2 linked regions of the Mytilus edulis genome follow. The protein of the gene in region 1 binds, or shares a complex with, the protein of each later gene. Links are inferred from orthologs where the notes say so. Each region holds a gene or a part of one and is shown in the gene's direction. Other genes may lie near its edges.

Region 1 (10,712 bases):
TGTACACCACATTTTTCACAAGCAATCTTGGCATGAGTTTCTTCAAAATGTATATCAATTTCTCCCTTGGGTACAGGTTCTTGGCAGTGCTTACATAAGGTAATGTTTCGCATGCAGTGCATCTCATGCATAACAAAATTAACTGCACTGATGTCTCTTTTACTGAAAACAAAATATATAAATAAATTATTAACTTGGTTTTTATGCATACATATAACATGTATAAAATTTTCAATAAAAGGCAGGTGCTACCTGAATCGAAGCTCCTGGAGGTTATTTGTGCATGTGTATTAAGTCATACTTTTCTGAGACATATTCATAAAACTTAATATATAATAATATAAATTTGCAAGGCAATTGTAAGCTCTTCAGTCACACATTTGCTGGGAATAATATGCTCTTTTATGATTTTGGAACCATAGTGGTATAGACCTTCGAGAGATATAACTGAACAGGACATAATGCTCGCTGATGACATCAGAGTAGATTTTAATTAAATGTACAATGTATTCTACATTTTGAATGAGCCGAAACTAATTACCCTGTATTTATGATTTCAGTAAATGTTATATTTATCACAGGCCTCGACAATAACGTTTGTCCGATTGTCCGGTACCAGAGGAAAAAAAAATCGGACAAGTAAAAGCTGTATCAAGCTTGTCCGTCGGGACAAGTACAGTTATTTAGCAGAAAATAAATTTAATCCAACTTTGATGAACAAAGTAATTTATTATAAACAAAAAACAAGAAAACAAATATTAATTTGACATGTTTCTGTATTCTGTTTATTCAAATGCAAAACCTTTTCCTACAACATGTTTACTTGCAATCGATAATTTTTAACTAGTTCTTTGTCAGGTACTTTTTAACAGGTAAAAGGAATACTATTCTCGAAAACCAGTCTTACTGATCGGAATCATGATGCGCTTTGTAGATAAGGTAACTTTACAGGACAGTTCGTCACCTCGAAAGATTCAGCTCCAAGTTTAATAGACAGTTTAGCACCGTAGGAGACATATAAGTAGACATGATTGATAGACAGTTTGACAAGGCAGGAGACATTTCGGGACCAAGACAAATCAGTGCCTCATTTTGCGACCTTATTCTGTTCCTTATAATAAATACCATACCGTAATTTTTTCACAATTTTTTTTATTTTATTTACCATAAAATTCACAAAATCATATTTGATCAGAAGTAGAAACCAGGTGCTCCGCAGGGCGCAGCTTTATACGACCGCAGAGGTCGAACCCTGAACAGTTGGGGCAAGTATGGACAAAACATTCAAGCGTGATACAGCTCTGAATTTGGATTGTGATCAAATTTTTGACATTACATGGTTTTTTTTTACACAAAACAAATGTCAAGATTTTACAAATCAATTAAAGATTTCTTCTTCAAACTTTTTAAATCTAAAATTAAATAGTTGACACAGCATAGGTTTCTGACACAGAATGAATGTGGTCTAATGAACTTAAAAGTTTTTTTTTTGCCTTTGAGCAATTCACTATGCTGTTGAATATTAATCCTCTCAAAAAAATGTTTGAAGAAATTTTCTTTTTATTTATGAAATCTGAAATGAGAAAAATTTAAACCCCCCCCCCCCTTTTTTTCACATCCCCGCTTCCCTTTTTCCAAAACTGATATCAATTCAAATTTCTAATGGAGTTTGCAACAATAACTACTCTTTTAAATACATCATAAAATATTAAAATGTAAAATAAAGTATTTGTTATCACTGAATGGTAAAGATTGGTTGGTAGTAAAAGTGAATATACATTGTTTATTGTATAAAACAATAAAAATAACTTCATCAGCAACATTTTATATTGGCAAATTTCCAATGAAGTTATTTACATAAAGTTATTGGCAAATAAAAATAGAAAATGACATCATAGTCATGTCTGGCAAATGTCCAACATACATTATCTAAAAACATTTTAGATAAGATAAGGAAAAAAAGCTTCATCAGCAACATTTTATATTGGCAAATTTCCAATGAAGTTATTTACATAAAGTTATTGGCAAATAAAAATAGAAAATGACATCATAGTCATGTCTGGCAAATTTCCAACATATATTATCAACTACTATTCTATACAAAGAAAGATAACTCTAATTGAAAATTAATTGCTATTGCACAATATTGTGCAATTAGATATTTCTTGCTATTGTGCAATACTGTGCAATTGAAAATTTCTTGCTATTGCACAATACTTGATATGGAATCCTGATTTGGACCAACTTGAAAACTGGGCCCATAATCAAAAATCAAAGTACATATTTAGATAAAGCATATTAATAAGCCCAAGAATTTAATTTTTGTTAAAATCAAACTTAGTTTAATTTTGGACCCTTTGGACCTTAATGTAGACCAATTTGAAAACTGGACCAAAAATTAAGAATCTACATACACAGTTAGATTTGGCATATCAAAAACCCCAATTATTCAATTTTTAATGAAAACAAACAAAGTTTAATTTTGGACCCCAATTTGGACTAACTTGAAAACTAGGCCAATAATTAAAAATCTAAGTACATTTTTAAATTCAGCATATCAAAGAACCCCAAGGATTTAATTTTTGTTAAAATCAAACTAAGTTTAATTTTGGACCCTTTGGACCTTAATGTAGACCAATTTGAAAACGGGACCAAAAATTAAGAATCTACATACATAGTTAGATTCGGCATATCAAAGAACCCCAATTATTCAATTTTTGATGAAATCACACAAAGTTCAATTTTAGACCCTTTGGGCCCCTTATTCCTAAACTGTTAGGACCAAAACTCCCCAAATCAAACCCAACCTTCCTTTTATGGTCATAAACCTTGTGTTTAAATTTCATAGATTTCTATTTACTTATACTAAAGTTATGGTGCAAAAACCAAGAATAATGCTTATTTGGGCCCTTTTTTGGCCCTTAATTCCTAAACTGTTGGAACCAAAACTCCCAAAATCAATCCCAACCTTCCTTTTGTGATCATAAACCTTGTGTCAAAATTTCATAGATTTCTATTAACTTAAACTAAAGTTATAGTGCGAAAACCAAGAAAATGCTTATTTGGGCCCTTTTTGGCCCCTAATTCCTAAAATGTTGGGACCAAAACTCCCAAAATCAATACCAACCTTCCTTTTGTGGTCATAAACCTTGTGTTAAAATTTCATAGATTTCCATTCACTTTTACTCAAGTTAGAGTGCGAAAACTAAAAGTATTCGGACGCAGGACGACGACGACGACGACGACGCTGACGCCAACGTGATAGCAATATACGACGAAAAATTTTTCAAATTTTGCGGTCGTATAAAAAACAATACTTGCAATATGGTGACCTATAGTTGTTAATTTCTGTGCCATTTGGTCTCTTGCAGAGAGTTGTCTCATTGGCAATCAGACCCTATGATGGCTTATCTTCTTTTTATTGATTGCATTTGAATAAACTTTTTTCAACTTAAAAAACAAAACAGAATACAAATCCAATGAGTGTACAGGCCTATCAGATGGTGCCTCATGTTTAGAGTCTGGTGAGACTAGCATTGATGAAAACTAAAACCCAATTCCTGTGATATAACTAGTTTCGCAGTTGTACTTGACTCATATTTTTGAAAAATAAAAAGAAATACATCTAAGTCTGTTATAAATGTATTGTCTAAATTCGTTTTGCTCCTTTTAATAATCAACTAAAAATGTAAAAAGGTTATTTTTAATAATAAAAATTAGGACAAGTAACAATTTCATTCGGACAAGTGAATTTTGGTATGTACTTGTCCTACAGGACAAGTTGAAAAAAAAGTTATTGTAGAGGCCTGTATCATGTTATTTTATCTATTCTTAATTGCATATATAAACACTATTCTATTTCCTTTTTATCTTAATTGCCAAGCTATACATGTATATCTCGTGGATGTCATGTACAAAAATTGTATGTGGTACATGTACATGCTTATTAATCATCTGGACTGATTAATCATGCACAACAAGATTATGTTGTGCAATCAGCTGTCAATGTTAAAATTTCTTAAGGTGGTGCTCACACTATTAAATACATTTTTTGTACTAGCGGTGATGCCATAGCAAGTATTATGTCTGATCGATTGCCATTGACATGAGGTATAATGTATTCTGTATAAAATTTAGATTTATAAATCTATTGATTATTGCAGAATGGAGAACTGCATATTTACAAGGTGAATACAAACTTAGGTGGCAGAGGGAAATTCAAGTGTGCTGCAACGCCAGTCTTCATGATATGACACTACAGCTCAGGTGGATTTTGCTTTGTCCACTCCTCCACAGTTGGAGTGGGTACCGGGTGGGCAAAATTTCTAGCTTGTCCACTCTGCCCACCCATAGGAGTGAGCATGCAATTTCTTTTGTTTAATCAAAAGACTGGCAAGTACAGTCAATTGAAAAAAGCAGATAAGCACTTGTAATCACTATTTTTACAAAAAAAGAGATTATAGCTAGGGTGGGACTGTGGAAAAAGCAAAATCTACCCTGGCTGTTGTGTGATATGCCTTGAACCTTACTGGTTTGTCTATGAAAGCTTAAGTTTATAGCGTTTATCATGTTTATACAAAAATTTCTGAAGAATGGGATGTGGTCCTTAAAGTTAACTGTAAAAACTGCAACACCACTTATGGATCATGGTGAACCCTGTAAAAATGTAAGCCATGTCAGTCAACAATAAATAATTTTCCAATAATGCCAATTCATCTTTTTTCCTGGCTACAATGTAATTTGATGTCAGAGATCAAATATCTTTGTTACAATTTTGTCCTCATACATATTTTATCCCAAATATCCAAGGTCAACTGGTGTAGTTTATACAATTACATTGTTGGTCTCATTGACAAAAAAATGATTGAAGAGTTCATGTAAGCTATTGCGAGGTTGGCTTCTATTTTTTTTACACATGACACCTTAAAAAATCATTTTGCATGTAAAAGGGACATGGAGTCAGTCAGGACCTGTGAAATTATATTATATATGACAAAACAATAAGCAGGTTACAGGATCATAAACCCTCTCCCCACAAACTAGCCCTCCTGGCTCCGTAATTTGGTATCCGGTCATTCAAGCCCCAAACCTATCCGGCCCCAATTCAATCCGGCCCAAAGTCGATCCGTCCCAAGTCGATCCGGCCCCATAATAAAATAATGAATAATCTATATGGGCAAAATCAATTTGCGCATATTACAGTTTTGAAAGGGTATCTTTCTATTTTTTCTGATGGTATAAATTGCGGCACATTTACCGGTATCTTTTTTCTTTTTTTTTTTTCCTATATCACGTGCACACTTTCATGACTTTAGATTAAGCTGAACATCAAAATAAAGAAAACCCATCAACACATAAATTGATAAATTATAGAGTAGTTTTTCAGATGGAGATCTTGGGGAAAACTTTTTAAAAAAAAACAAAAGCTTAAACACACCAAACAAATAGATAACAACTGTCATATTCCTGACTTGGTACAGGCATTTTCTTGAAAACTTTTAAATAATAATAAATACCCACTTTACCAGAAATCCTAAAATTAGGTGTCGACTAAGTTAAGACTGATTTAGTAATAATTTACAAAATTTGAAATGTTGTTTATGTAACTATTTGTTATTACACAGGATGAAAGACTTGCAATTGAAAAAAACGGTAATCAATGCTGATGAACGTTGATTGTATTAAACTCTGTTATATATGTTTTTATTACTCAATAATGTTGAAAACTTGTAATGAAACTGTACATAATCAACATAGTTGTTTTAAACTCATCTAATGAAAATATTCCTCAAAGGCCAACTTTTTTTTACTGTACACCTTTTATAATCTTATTAATTTCATAAACATTTATCAGTGATTTACAATTCATATAATGCATGATGATATATCTTCATTATAATTTCTTATAAAAATATTTTTTTATTGGGGCCGGATCGACTTGGGACAGATAGACATGAAAGCAGTAATTTATAGTATTTCTTTTAAGGAAAACGTAATATTTACAAAATGAAATTATAAAATAAATATCCAGCAATAAATTACCAATTTTTGCAAAACTTTGTCTCCACATCTTGTGAATCTTCAGCCATGTTGATGTTTATGAAACTGAAAGTTGCTTGGTCACGTTACAAGAATGTTTTTATCATTACAAATTTGTCATTCAGAAATAATCAACCAATGATTCAAAATGAATCGCTAATTATCATTTAGTTTAACTAATTTAGACAACAGAGCAATATTCTGTTTTCGATGACAATAAAGAAACTACAAGGTGTTTCCCCTGATACAAAGACACTTGGGATAGAAACTGTAGCCTGGCTTGTCAACAAAATATTTTGACAGCTCTAATCTGCAATAGAACAACAACTGTGATTGGCTAATTATTTTAAGACGACGGTTTTGATTTGTTGGTGTAAGAGGCAAGTCCTCGCCATTTATTGTACTTCCGGTTTATCCGGCTACCTGCACGTGGAAACCCACTAACTATATTACAACATTTTTTTTAATTTGAAATATTCACATTTAAAATGGCAACGCCTTCTTTAAATGAAGCCCAGTTAAAGCTGGTTTCGGATTTAGAATTAGAAATGATGGCAGATATGTATAACAGGTGAATTGATAGACAGAAAGTGTATTTCTGAGATGTAACCAAAATTTGACCTTTGCCATGTTTATATTGTCAGTGTCAAAGACAAGTATCAGAGCACTGTACATAATACCAAGTTTTTGGTGGTGTTGGTGTTGCTCAGTCTTTAGTTGGTTTTTGTATTTTACTATGGACTTACAGAGTTAAATTTCTAACATGTCATGTGTCTAATAAACTACCCGCTCTATTTTACAAGGCATGTTGTTCTTGTGTTCTAGTCATAGATTGCAAAGGTGGCGTTTAGTTGACTGTACATTCGTGATCAGCTGTCAATGTTACAAAAAAATATGCTAGACAATCTCAATATGCAAGTGCAAAAGGAAAACTAAACGTAAACATCGCTCCGTCATAGTCATCAAGATAAACTATATCTTGTAGTACCTGTTATACACTTGCTTACCTGAATATCCATGCTTCTTTGTTGATTGATTACAAACGGGTGACAATTGTTAAACTTCAGCTTCACATCACGACTAATAATAAGCTGCCATATTTTCACAACAACACTGACAAATAGAATATTTTTTGACGATTAGACGAAACTTATGCTAACAAAATGATAAAATCGATCACAGAAGACTTAAGTTTATGATATATGTATGCATTGGTTCAAGAGTTGGATTAACATTATTTTCCACCGGTCACTATTTTCATATTACTTTAAAGTAATAAACATGATAAAGAAATTGATGGTCATCAGAAGTGATGAAACCAGCATTAATTTAAAAATAAATCATTTGATATAATTCAAAAACACTCTTAATTGAGGGGGCAATAGGGGGTCCGTTTACATGTTGACAACACCTCGATTTTGGCAAAAACATTTAGCAAAAAAGCTGATACAAACAAATAACAGCTTAAATTGATCTCAGATAACAGTTAAAAACACCTTGAAAAGGGCCATAACTGGTTAACACAAAAAGGTATCCCCCTCTTAATTTGTTCACTTTGCGTAACCCCACTATTATCTATAATAAATTAATAAATGTACAATATATATTTTCTGTGTTTTAGAATGACCACTGCCTGTCAGAAAAAATGTGTACCACCCAAGTATAACGAAGCAGATTTATCTAAAGGTGAATCAGTGTGTTTAGACAGATGTGTATCCAAGTACTTAGAAATGCACGATAATATAGGAAAGAAATTGACATCTATGTCCCAACAAGACGAGGCTACTGTGAAGAAAATCCAGGATCAAATGCAGCCCCAAAAATCTTAACATAAACTGTTTTAATAGTTGTGATATTACAATTAAAGTATTTATACAATGAAGAAATGAACAAGATACTAACAGGAGAAAGTGTAATCAGTACAAGGAAAAGCAGGCCATTGATAAAAAGATGAATTGACTCACTGTCATCAGCTGTTCTGTCATAGATTGCAAAGGTGGCGTTTAGTTGACTGTACATTCATGATCAGTTGTCAATATTTAAAAAATACACTAGACAATTAATATTAAATTTATTATGTTACTATTAATTCTTAAATTTTATAACTACATTCAGGAAGTTTTTCTAGTAAAAATTTCATTTTACTGGTTGAAATTTTATTTGGTTTTCTTAGAACATGAAAACCTAAGCCAACTGTGGTAAATAAGCATGATAAGTGCTAGATGAGATACATGTATTGTCACACTCTTGCCTTATTGAATGTTTCAGTCTAAACATTCTAAAATGACCATGACTAATCCAGTATGCTAACGATGATTTAGATTTTCATAGCCTCAAAAAAAATAATTTTTAGCATGTCTAAGGCCTAAAATAAAATTTCATTTGTTTGGCATTGCCGCCCAACCCACTGAAAAACTTGCCGCCCAAATAATTTTATTTGCGTTTCAGAAATTTATTTTTTTTTATTTAAAAACAATCGAAATTTTGCCGGAAATTGGTCGTATCTGCCGAGTTTGTTCCTGGCTTTACTTATTTCAAATCATGATCTGAAAAGCGTTTGCCTTACACTGTATTGGTAGCAAACATTTAAATGACATGGAATAGAAAAAGTCTGCCAAAAGTTAAATGTCAAAGAGGCTGACAGGGGAAGGCATCTCCCTATGCTGCAATGCATTGGTTAAGGGAGATGGATTTTATCAAAAATCAAATTTCAGCTATTCTTTGAAAGAAACGTTCTGAGAGACCTTGTAGAGGACTCAATTTTATCTTTTGTAAAGCAGAAACAGATGATTTCTGCTCGACTTTGTCGCTTCATGAGATAGAAGTTTTTCACCAGGACATCACAGAACAAATATGCGTGGCTCTTACATTTGTTGAACTTATTAAATATTTGAAATTTATCATTGACAAATTTTCCCTTGAACCAGAGAACAAAGTATCTACTATAGTCAGAACCACAATGATGCATTCAAGATAATTATGACTGTAAGCACCAAAGCTTACAGACCAAAATAATTTACAGGTTTATAGTAGTTTTGTACCAGAAGATGCTAGCCTGGAACAAAACATACATATTTTAAAGACTAGCATCTTGTGTCAATTGAAGTACTTCCCATTTTCTTGCCTTTCTTCATGAATAAGATGATTCTTAAAACATAAAAGATACTGACAGAAACATATTTATAAATGTATCCAGTGTACTAGTGATGAATAAAATCCCCTCCTTTTCCACAATTCTAAGGGCTCATTAATTTATCTGTATTCATGTAATGCATGTCCAGATTTCTGTTAATCAAACAAGCATTACAACTCATAATTTATTTATCTGCAAAAATTATCTGTCCTGCTGCATATTTCCATTTTGAATTTATCATACGTTTTAAACCTATCCCTGAAAAACCTTGCACTTGGATAATATTAGTATAAACACCATGTCTATTTGTGCCAACCTTCCAAATTTTTAATATTTTGCTATCCTAATTTGGAACAGATCCTTTATCCTCAAAACTTATCAGGGGCAGTTGGCGTGTTTGTATGGTAGTTCGTCACACCTTACATGTATGATTACTAGCCTCCAGGTATTGGTTTGAGCCCTAGTTGGGCAGTTGCAAAATTAAGGTTTGATTTTCATGTCAGATGTGATAAGGTTAGTCAGTTTCCTCCCACAGGTTGGCGTTTTCCTTCAAGTACTACGGTTTAGTACGCCACTAAAACTGACTACCATGAAATTACCTATATGGTGTAGAAAGTGATGTTTATAATAGTCCAGTCAAACTCAGATTTAACCTCAAACTAATTGCAACAGAAAATGTTTTAGTTCTTATCTATAACATTATGCCCTTTATATACACAGAAAAAAGTCCCATAAAATCTTACTTGAGGAAAACTCAAAATCAGCATTTTTAATTTCCTATGGAAATTAACATTGGAAGGGGAGATAATTCTTACAAAAATGAGTCTTTTTTGTCAGTTTTTGGTTGTTTTTCTTGAAATTGATGTAAAGTATGATACTTTGATGGTTTATAAGTTTGTATTTGACTAAATTATATAATCTTCTGTTCATGAAATGTACAAAACCGAAGTGTTATGGGTAGTTTTATTTTTTTCGTGCATTTTTCATTGAAGAAATTGCAAATTTGAAGCTTTGTAACCATTTTGAAAAAATAATGTGAAAATTTGGTATTGTTTATATCTGTATATTATGTTTTTTCAGCAACTTACTTATCTAAAGAAACTTTAAACCACAAAAAGAAGAATACATTCTTAATTACTTTTATTAAATTTGAGATTCTTTACCTTGACATGTTGAAAAATTCAATAAATGGTCAACTAATGAATTACGAAATCTAGATTATAGCTTGATAAAATATATGAAAACACCTTTAGAGGTGTTCGTTATACTCTTAAGACCGCTAAAAAATAAAAAATCAATACATTCTGATGAATAGAAGCGGTAAAGTTATAATTTGGTATCATTTTTTATTGATATTTCTGCCTTTTTTGCAAGAGTTATCTCCCTTTTCAATGCATATCTCCATAGGAATTTTAAATGGTGATTTTTTTTAGTCTTCCTCAAGTTAGATTTTATGGGACTTTTTTCTGTGTATATTTGGGGTATAATGCTAAAGATTAAAACTTAAAAATCTTCTGTTGCAATTACTTTCGGGTTAAGG
Region 2 (10,255 bases), on another chromosome or scaffold:
GCCGTACTTTCGCATAAAATGGACGACGGCAGCGACAAACCAATAGCTTATACATCTCGAACACTTACATCAGCAGAGAAGAATTATTCCGTTCTTGAGAAGGAGAGTCTGGCCATAATATTTGGTATCAAGAAATTTCATCAATATTTGTATGGACACCCCGTTACAATCATAACCGATCACAAGCCGCTCATAGGTTTATTTCGAGAAGATAAACCTATACCTACAATGGCCGCATCTCGAATTCAAAGGTGGGCACTGACGTTAGCTGCATATGAGTACACGATTGTATACAAAGAAGGGAGTTTGAATGGTAATGCGGATGGACTAAGTAGACTACCGCTGAAAACAAACATTGAAAAGACACCAACGCCAGGTGATACTATATTATTAATAGAACATTTAGCCACTACGCCAGTTGATGCTAAACAAATTCAAAAGTGGACACGCAAGGACACAATACTATCTATGGTGCTTAGATACATTTTGAATGGATGGCCGTCAAAATGTCCAAATGAAGAAATAAGACCGTATCATAGTAGGAAAAATGAACTCAGTAGTCAGGACGGATGCATATTGTGGGGAGGAAGAGTAATTATACCACAACCAGGACGTGAAGCCATGTTAAATGAATTACACCAAGGACATCCAGGGATTACTAGAATGAAAAGTCTAGCAAGAAGCTACATATGGTGGCCGGGAATGGACAATGACTTGGAATTAACTGTAGTTAATTGTTATAGTTGTCAGGAAAACCGCAAGTTACCAGCAGAAGCACCGTTACATCCGTGGGAATATCCGAGCCATCCGTGGTCAAGAATACACATAGACTTTGCAGGACCATTCATGAACAAATCATTTCTAATTATGGTTGATGCGTATTCAAAATGGATAGACATACACGTAATGAATTCTACAACATCCGAAGCTACGATTGCAAAACTTGAACAAACGTTTGCAACACATGGATTATGTGATCTCATTATTAGTGATAATGGAGCCGCATTTACTAGCAAGGAATTCGCCGATTATGTGAAATCAAATGGAATTGAACATCGTACTTCCGCGCCGTGGCATCCAGCTAGTAATGGTTGTGCTGAACGAGCAGTTCAGAGTTTCAAAGAAGGTATGAAGAAAATCAAAGAAGGAACTGTCCAGGAAAAGTTGAACCGTTTTCTTTTTAACTACCGTATAACGCCACAAACAACGACAGGATTGGCACCATCAGAATTGCTTATGAAAAGGAAACTCAAGTCGCGTCTAGATTAAGTTTTTCCAAATATTGAGAAGCGAGTTCAGGAAAGACAACAAAAACAGAAACATTATCACGATAAGAAATCTGTGAACAGACAAATTAATGTAGGACAGGGAGTATTTGCCCGAAATTTCGCAATTGGTTCAAAGATTAAATGGATTCCAGGAGAAGTTATAAAACAATCAGGACCACTTTCATTTCATATTAAATTGCAAGATGGACGTGTCATTCGTAGACATATTGACCACATCAGAGTACGAAACTTCGATTGCACAAACAACGAAAATGAAGGAAAATGTGACAATGACAGTGATTTGTTTGAGCCAGAAATAACTATACCGATAAGTACTCCTGAGACCGAACAACCGCAAATCGATAAATCGTCAAACTTGACTGAACAAATGGAACCACGCTATCCGAAGAGAATAAGAAAAGAACCATCGCATTTAAAGGATTTTGTGTTGAAATAAATGGTTGATTTATAAAGAGGCATAATAATCCTCACAACCGTTTGAAGTGCATTAAGTACTTCGCAGTGTATGTGTGTACATATCAATTAGTGTAAGAAATAACAACAAGACCAGTGCGAACATTTTAATTTTTATTTTCATAGTAGGACATTATAGTTTCAGTGCAGACAAACTTTAACGAATGAATCTTTGTGATCTGACATTTTTATTTGTTTTCAAACTGATATGGACTTATCAATCAGTAGCCGTGAAAAGACATTAATTTTCTGTAATTGAGTTAATTTGTTTTTAATTTGTTTTTATCTAAGGCCGGAGAAGTGTTATAAAGTTCACCTCACTTTATTACCGTATCATCTGTTACAGTAATTATAATTGACAGATCAGCAACTCTCACATGTCTGCCCGTTCTTAAATAAACATGCAATTAAATAGATCAATTGAAGTTCTTATACACATGTTGTCATTCTGTAGTCTGACCATCAAACGATGTACTTGTTAATAAATTAGTTATAGAAACTGGATTGTATTATTACATAGCAAATATATTACAGTCCTCAATGCTCTTCAACTTCGTCCTCTATTTGGCCTTTTAAACATTTTTTAATTCGAGTGTCACTGATGAGACTTTTGTAGACGAAACCCGCGTATGGCGTAAATATTATATGTTATTCAGACCTGAATTACACATATATTACGGATTACGCCTGACTTAATGTTATTGTCCAGTGCAGGTATTTGTTGACAAAACATATATATTGAAAAACCCAACCTGATATGTTCGGCATACGTGAAGGATTTTCTAATTTTCTGTGAACATAATTTTATCGTGTATGTAATAATTTATAATAACACTTTTAACATCAAATTAAAGTATTAGAAGTGTTAATTGCGTGATTTTGTATCAAAAATGTATTATTGACTGAAGCACGTCATTATTTTCCCTCTGTGAACCTCTGACAGTCTGATAGCTTATGACTACGTCACATAGTAACCGGTTTTATGATGACGTTTTTGAGGTTCCAATTGGGGAAAAAAACGTCGTATATACCCCGGCAGTTTTCTGAATATATACTGACATCTCTGTATTGTTATCCAATCAGAAACCTCGACACATTTGTAATCCGTAATATAAATTTTTAATTCTGGTATCTATGATGAGTTTATTAGTTTAAGTACAGCTTGTTTGAAAATTATAATGAAAAAATATAGGTCACCAATGAGTTAAAAAAAGATATTTCAATTTTAATTGCAAAAAAGGCATTTTTGCACCAAAGGAAGATCATTTGGAGCTTTTTCAAAAATGAAAGCTACACTTTATAAGTCATCTGGGGCCCACACGAATTTTTTTTGGTATTTTTGATTTTTGTACAACATGATAAAGTAACAACTATACTAAAGGTAATAAATAAAATTTGTAATGAAAAATAAATGTTTATTTTTTTTGTAAATAAAGACTATTTTCATGACACAATTTGCTTATCAAATTTGCCGCTAGCATTTAAAAATGTTCTCATCTGAAACAATATATTGTTCCTAATACTTCTTTACTTTAAATGAATGTTTCTTAGGAATCTAGTTTATGAATTGTATCAACATGTTTTATCCACCAAGAAACATGGCCGCAATGGTCGAAAATAGACTATAGGGTTCATATACATGGTGTTTATATGGCGCTCGGTTTCTTCTTCAATGTATAAGCCTTTTGTTAGTATGAGTACCTCCATATTCCATATAGAGTATATTCCTAATATATTCAAAATTTTAAATCAATTATATGCAGGTCATATATAAATTTAACCAGGTGCTCTGCAGGTCGCAGCTTTATACGACCGCAGAAGTTGAACCCTGAACAGTTGGGGCAAGTATGGCCACAACATTTAAGATTGATACAGCTCTGACAGGGCCGTAACTAGACCCTTTTAAAAGTGAGGCGAAAAATCTTCGGCGAGGGGTCTGGGGCCGATTGAAAGGCCCGCCGAAGCTCTGAAAAAAAATGACGCAAAATCGTGCATTCTGAGCGTTTTCCGGACTCTTCTCTGACGCAATTAGTTTTTAGCTATTTTTTCGACAATACTCTGGTCTCAAAGCAAACTATATAGATTCAATGGAATTCAAGACTTTTAGGTTTATGGGGCAACATCAAAAGTTAGACCGATATGTAGGATAAAGCAACAATCGTAATTCTTAAAATCATTGAATACCGGATCTGTCTATTCTTGTCTTGTATTGTGTTTTGACTTTGTTGATTTTGTTTTATGACTGAATTTAGATATAGTGACAATGCAGTATTAATATATCATACTATACGTACCGCTTTAGTCGACACTATACATGCAGGGACGATCTTGACCTCAAGTTAAAAACAAACTAAATGTACTAGATTTACAAATGAAAATCAACACTTATTACTATAATCATAAAGTAGGACAATAAATGGACAAAAGACAAACCCGGGTACAGAAAAGACACATAACTAAAAACAATAGACCATAAGCTTTGAAAATAAAAGTAAATTAGAAACATGGGTCAGTCAAGAAAAACATGCAGGGGCGACATCAGAGAGTGAAGAGAAAGTGCTACTTGCAAGACATTCGCTGTGAAAAAAGAGTAGACAAGCTTTTGTTTCCACTTTTTTATTTTAAATTTCCGACATGAGGCATTTGCCTCATTTCCAATACGGACTGGCAATGATGTGAATACTAGGGCCAATATTTCCAATACGGATTGGCAATGAATCCTGAATTACATGCACAATTAATGTTTACATGTAATTCAGTATTCATTGCCAGTCCCAAGGATTTGTAAAGTTACTTAGACTTACTATACAAATCCTTGTCAGTCCGTAACGGAAATAATTGACCGGGCCGAAAAGCAATATCATGAATATAGATCACGTGAATTATATGACCAGTACTGAGAGTACACTATGTGTTATAGTAGTCTCAGACAGAATACAAAAAAAAAACGAAATTTATTAAAAAAAATTTACATTCTTAAAATATAATTGCAAATACATTTTTGTATCATTATTGGAGAATAACTTTATGCTTGTAAGCTTAGTTATTTGTATAACAATTGAAAAGAAACCTGTTAATTGTATCATAATCATACTATTGATGCGTGAAACATTTATATACAACTTTATTGCAAAAACAGAGTTCTTAACAGCAATTTGATTTTATAGCACTTCACTTTGGTTTTTAAAGGTATTGACGTGGGCAGGGACAAAGATATACAACGGGATTGCATCTTTTTTATAAGTGGTTTATCTATTTGTCATGAGTGGAGCCGTATTTCAGCGGGATTTTAACCCTTTTCATAAGGGGAGCATATTATTATAACTATTTGCAATGGGAGTTTACCCTTTTCATAAGTGGGGCGAGTTGGTAAACAAGAGTGGGGCGGTTTTTTAGAAAGTGGGGCGAGTTTGTGAAAAAATGGGGCGATTAGATGTGGGGAGATTTGCCAGTGGGGCGATTTGTCATGGATTACTCGCAGTTATTGGTGCTCCGTAAACGGAGCGATCTACGTTCATAAATACCTCATGACATTACCATTGGTTTCCCTCCCTCACTTATATTCTCTGTTATAACTCATGTAGGTTAAAAATCAGACAAAAATTGTCACTGAGACACATTGTAAATCATACCTTTTGTTTTACGAACAGTTACATATTCAATTTAGTTAAAAGTATTTTGTTGTTTAGACCAGGAATATACTGTTTCCAGGCTGTTCAATAAACATTGTTATATAAAAGATCATAAAATATGATATTTTATTGATAGGTACTGGCATGGAAATGTAACAATTATAATAAAAATATTATTGTTACATTGGAGAATAATTGCCGCAGTACAGGGTTGGGTAAGGATCCGATTAATTACGAATGTAACAATAAAAATTGAGGCTAAGGTTACTTTGCGATATTGTTACATTTGTACATTGATGCACTTAAGGTTCATGTGGACCCTATGGCTAAAATGGCCGTATTTTCACCTCAAAATTTTCTCTGAGTACAGGCAAACCTGTGCATCTGGAAAAGTTTTAAGGCATGGCATGCCCTAGATAAATAGAATTCAAATGCATTGTATGATTTAGAAAATTCATAACTTAACTGGATTTTGCCATACACTTTTTTTCGTCTCTGCAGAAGACGATAAAATTAACAAACAGTTGAGTTTACCTTGATATGGTTCACTCAGGTACACAGTTTAAATAACCAATTATTGTCGGGTATCTATTGTCCATCTAATGTCCATGTCAATTAAAAATGCTCACTTTAATTTTTACCTGTGGGGAAGTTCTCAAACCTGTTTCCCAACTTAGTTTATTTTGGCACCTTCTGGAGAAATGAAAAAAAGTGCACGGCAAAATCCTGGTAAGTTTTTACTTTTCTAAAACATAAAACATATTTAAAATTCATTTATCTAGGGCATGCTATGCCTGAATTTTTTTACAGATGCGCAGGTTTGTCTGTACTCCGAGTAAATTTTGAGGTGAAAATACGGCCATTTTAGCCATAGGGTCCACATGAACCTTAATGTATGCTAGATTTATTAAACTTCAACCTTCTAAACTTGTATACCTTATTTTTTCATCAATCTGTAATCTGTAATGTCTGTACAATCAAGGATTTGTATAGTAAGAATCCAATTAGAATGAAATTACTATCACAAATTATCTGGACTCTGAAAATGAAAACACTGATTCAACCACTTTCAATGTCATGTCAGCAAATGTTAAAAATCAATTGCCTTCGCAATTGACTAGTACTTAGCTGGATATGGAAATTGAGGGTGGTAAAGGTTGTTTTTTTGGTGGAACGTGATCACCGTTTTTTATTTCACGTTCAACATGTTTTTACTTGTTTATTTGACGTTCAGTTGTGCAAGACGGGTGCCTCGTTCAACGTTTTCTGCTTATTTAATTTTACATGCATCATGATTTTCAAAGTCTTATTTTGCGTGCTCGATATTTTTCAAATAAAATTCTAAGACTTGGCAGGGATCGTCAAGAAATACTTTTTTAAAAGCCATAAACCAATTATATCATAAATGTGTATTATAATTCGGGAATATCAAGTAAAACAAAGAGTTAATATATACAAGAAGACAGTGACTCAGTCACACAAGGTTCAAATAAAAGTATTTATTTTTCATGCAACGTTCATTACAGAAATTATTTCACGTTCAACGTGAAATTATGTCTTATTTCACGTTTTTTTCGTGCAAGCACCCCCTTTACCACCCTCAATAATGAACGGTAATGAAATCATTTTACAACCTCACATGCATACCTGTCAACTAACCCGTATTCTGCGGGTGTTACCCGAGATTTTCACAATTCTGAGGGATCACCCGGGACACCCGTCGGGTCATTGAATAACCCGGGAATTCCGAAAATGACTAGTTTTCACCCGTATTTCTTAGCCTTGAGATTGATTTCATAAGTAATATTCCTTTGAAATACCGGCAAATTCGTAATTGTTCCATGAACAGAAAGTTCATCTAGCTGTGTAAACTGTCAAATGAAGTGACCCATTAAGTGCATGGCTTCACTTAACAGCTTTGGTGTCAAACACACTGTTAATTAACACCAATTACCTTAGCTTAAGGTCGTAAATAAATTGCACTGTTGTTTTTACAAACATATTTCTACTAGAGTTACTTCCCCTTATTTGTCACCATTCAAAATTATTCCTTATATTTCCGTTTTTTTTTGGGAAAAGATTAAATCTTAGAAAAAATAAAATTCAAATACATATTGAAATATAACTTTTCATTATTTTTATACCTTTATACATGTTATACAATTTTGAAAAAAAAGTTGAAAATTATTTTGTACATCTATACTTCCTTTAACTGTATTACTATATTTTACTATCGTATAATTTCAATGAACAAGATGGATTGTAATGAATGATTAGGATGATGTGTTTGAAGGCTGAATAGCTGGTCTGAAACACTTTAAAATTACTCTTAAACTATATCCTGATGTTTGAGGGTAAAATAAAGAACACAAGACTGTGTTAAACAAATTTATAAAAAATCTTTAAAAGTGCAATGAAATAATAATTAATAAGATTTAAAATTACTTAACCAAGTAACTTTGATTTAAATTACAAGAAAAAAGTACCATAAATACTGAAATTCAGCTTGAAAAAGTTTGTACGCATTATGACCTGAGATTTGATTCTTCAATGCAGGTCATGACCTGCATTTTCATTGTCACAGGTTGACAGGTATGCACATGTTAAAGTTTAAATATCGCACCAAGGATATTTATATACAAATCCTTGATCGCAAGAGTAAAAAAATATATTTATCAGCTGAAGCATGACAGACATTGAAAGTGTCTTTAACTGCAAAACAGGATAGTAACATGGAATTTAGAGTATGAAATACTGACGTTCATATTGCTGCATCACTCGTTTGCGATGACTGCTAGGTTTCACCAAGATTCGTTGGACTAAGACATGCTCCCAAAAACAACATATTGGATTTGTAGAAACTAATATTACAAATAATTTTTTTTAAATTGTATGCAATTTTGTAAAATTCAAATAAAGTTTTCATCGAGTTTATATTTCTAGTCCCAGCGTACATTGACGTGAATTAATGTAACAATAACCCAATGTAACCGTAGCCTCAATAATTTTTGTTACATTCGTAATTAATCAGTTCCTTACCCAACCTTTCATTCTGGCAATTAATCTCCGATGTAACAATATTTTTATTATTGTTACATTTCCATGTAACCATAGCCAGTGCCAATATGATAAACCACAGCTGGGAACAGTATATCTAGTTAATATATATGTTCCTGACCACAGTCTCTTGAATTTGAGTGATATATGTATGAAAAAATTCAATAAAAAAATTCTGTTCAATGTATTTTTTTTAATATTTTTTTTCATACATATATCACTAAAATTAAAACGACTGTGGGTAAACAGATCTTCTTATGATCAGGTTGGGAAACCCTCCCTTATGAAAGTCTGAGATGAGGAAATGTCCTTCAGATGAGGGGTTATTTAACTGTTTTAGAAAAGAAAAACTTAGGTTTTTATACGACCGCAAACAATTTTTTGCGTCGTATAATGGTATCATGTTGGGCGTCTGCGTCGTCGTCGTCGTCTGAAGACGCATTTAGTTTCTGGACAATAACTTTTGTTTTAGTGGATGAATCTCTATAAATTTTTACCAGAAGGATCAATACTACTAAAGGAAGGTGGGGATTGATTTTGCGGGTTATAGTCCCAATAGTTAAGGAATTAGGGGCCAACAATAACTTGTGTTAAAGTGTATGAATCTCTCTGAAATTATACCAAAAATATATACCATAAAAGTTTCCATACCCTGAAGGAATGGTTAGTATTGACTTTGGGGGTTATTGCTCAAAAAAAAATTCTTTATATTTGGAACAATTATCGTCGATGCTTGTAACATGTGTAAGGTTGTTGTTCTTGCAAATTCGATACATCTCTGCTGGATTTCCAATTTAATCATGACATCATGCAAAAAAACTAACCACACATTTTTCATTGCATTTTCACTAGTATTGACTACAAAAGAGAAGTTGAGAATGATCTTGCATAATAATTGTTTAAACATCTATTTCCACTATTTATGTTTTACTCCTCTCGTAGAATTTCGTTGAATTCTTGGGAAAATCTTTTCAGCAATGTTGTTAACATGGAAATAATGACTCGTCAACTATCATGTCTAATTTTAGGTTATGTGGTGCTCATATTCCTTTTTAAGGCCAAGTGTATTATTTTTTTAAGTCTTGTTGTGAGCTTTTTTTTTTATGATCAGAAAATGATTTGGTATATTTTGATAAAACAAAATCTGCCAAGTATTTGCCTGTAAAAGTAATTTATTCTATGTCATTGAATGCTAATGGAATGAAAAAATACTTTGATGCATTTATGACATTGTGACATAGTTATAGTTATCTTAAACATGTTTAAAGTGTCAAATACTGAATTTTCCAATTGACCATCGAAAGCCACATGTAAAAAATCTATTATTTTTGTATGGAGATTTAACGTGGAGCCAGTATGTCCCAATTACTCTATTTAACGAGATATTCATTTGCCAATGTTTGTTATTTGATTTCAAATTTATTCTGGAATGTTAAAATACATAATACAATAGGCCTGACCTATATATTGTTGCACATGGGCAAAAACAATGTCAAAAACAAAGGTCACGAACTTACACAATGTACAAGCACGTCTACTTATTTACAGAATCAGGTCACAATACGAAATATAGATCGATTGACCATGTCTCTGAAACAATATATTTGCCAATTCCCGTAATTGACCCTGTAATTAGAGATCCCTTTTTAGCTCACCTGGCCCAAAGGGCCAAGTGAGCTTTTCCCATCACTTTTCGTCCGTCGTCGTCGTCGTCGTCGTTAGCTTTTACAAAAATCTTCTCCTCTGAAACTGCTGGGCCAAATTAAACCAAACTTGGCCACAATCATCATTAGGGTATCTAGTTTAAAAAATGTGTGGCGTGAC

Evidence for each region.
Region 2: the proteins of mitochondrial import inner membrane translocase subunit Tim10-like (region 1) and mitochondrial import inner membrane translocase subunit Tim9-like are in contact, whole or in part, in a crystal structure (PDB 2BSK), measured with the Homo sapiens proteins. The link is inferred for Mytilus edulis from reciprocal best matches to the Homo sapiens genes TIMM10 and TIMM9. Residues at the interface, in NP_036588.1 of Homo sapiens: Glu16, Met17, Asp20, Met21, Arg24, Ala28, Cys29, Lys32, Cys50, Arg53, Cys54, Ser56, Lys57, Tyr58, Asp60, Ile61, His62, Arg64, Met65, Gly66, Lys68, Leu69, Leu72; in NP_001291414.1 of Homo sapiens: Lys15, Leu18, Gly19, Tyr21, Asn22, Lys23, Thr25, Glu26, Cys28, Phe29, Leu30, Val33, Asp35, Phe36, Thr37, Thr38, Arg39, Glu40, Val41, Glu45, Thr46, Glu50, Leu53, Leu57.

The regions. Positions count from the first base shown.
Region 1 is NC_092349.1:22,051,460-22,062,171, forward strand, and holds the start of mitochondrial import inner membrane translocase subunit Tim10-like, read left to right. Parts: upstream 1-6,434; 5' UTR 6,435-6,527; coding exon 6,528-6,610; intron 6,611-7,660; coding exon 7,661-7,868; 3' UTR 7,869-8,395; intron 8,396-10,712. Other genes in the region: TRAF-type zinc finger domain-containing protein 1-like, read right to left, coding at 1-162, 6,043-6,089.
Region 2 is NC_092346.1:22,145,280-22,155,534, reverse strand, and holds the start of mitochondrial import inner membrane translocase subunit Tim9-like, read left to right. Parts: upstream 1-5,213; 5' UTR 5,214-5,322; intron 5,323-5,338; exon of another isoform or gene 5,339-5,363; intron 5,364-10,255. UniProt on the Homo sapiens protein: Mitochondrial intermembrane chaperone that participates in the import and insertion of multi-pass transmembrane proteins into the mitochondrial inner membrane.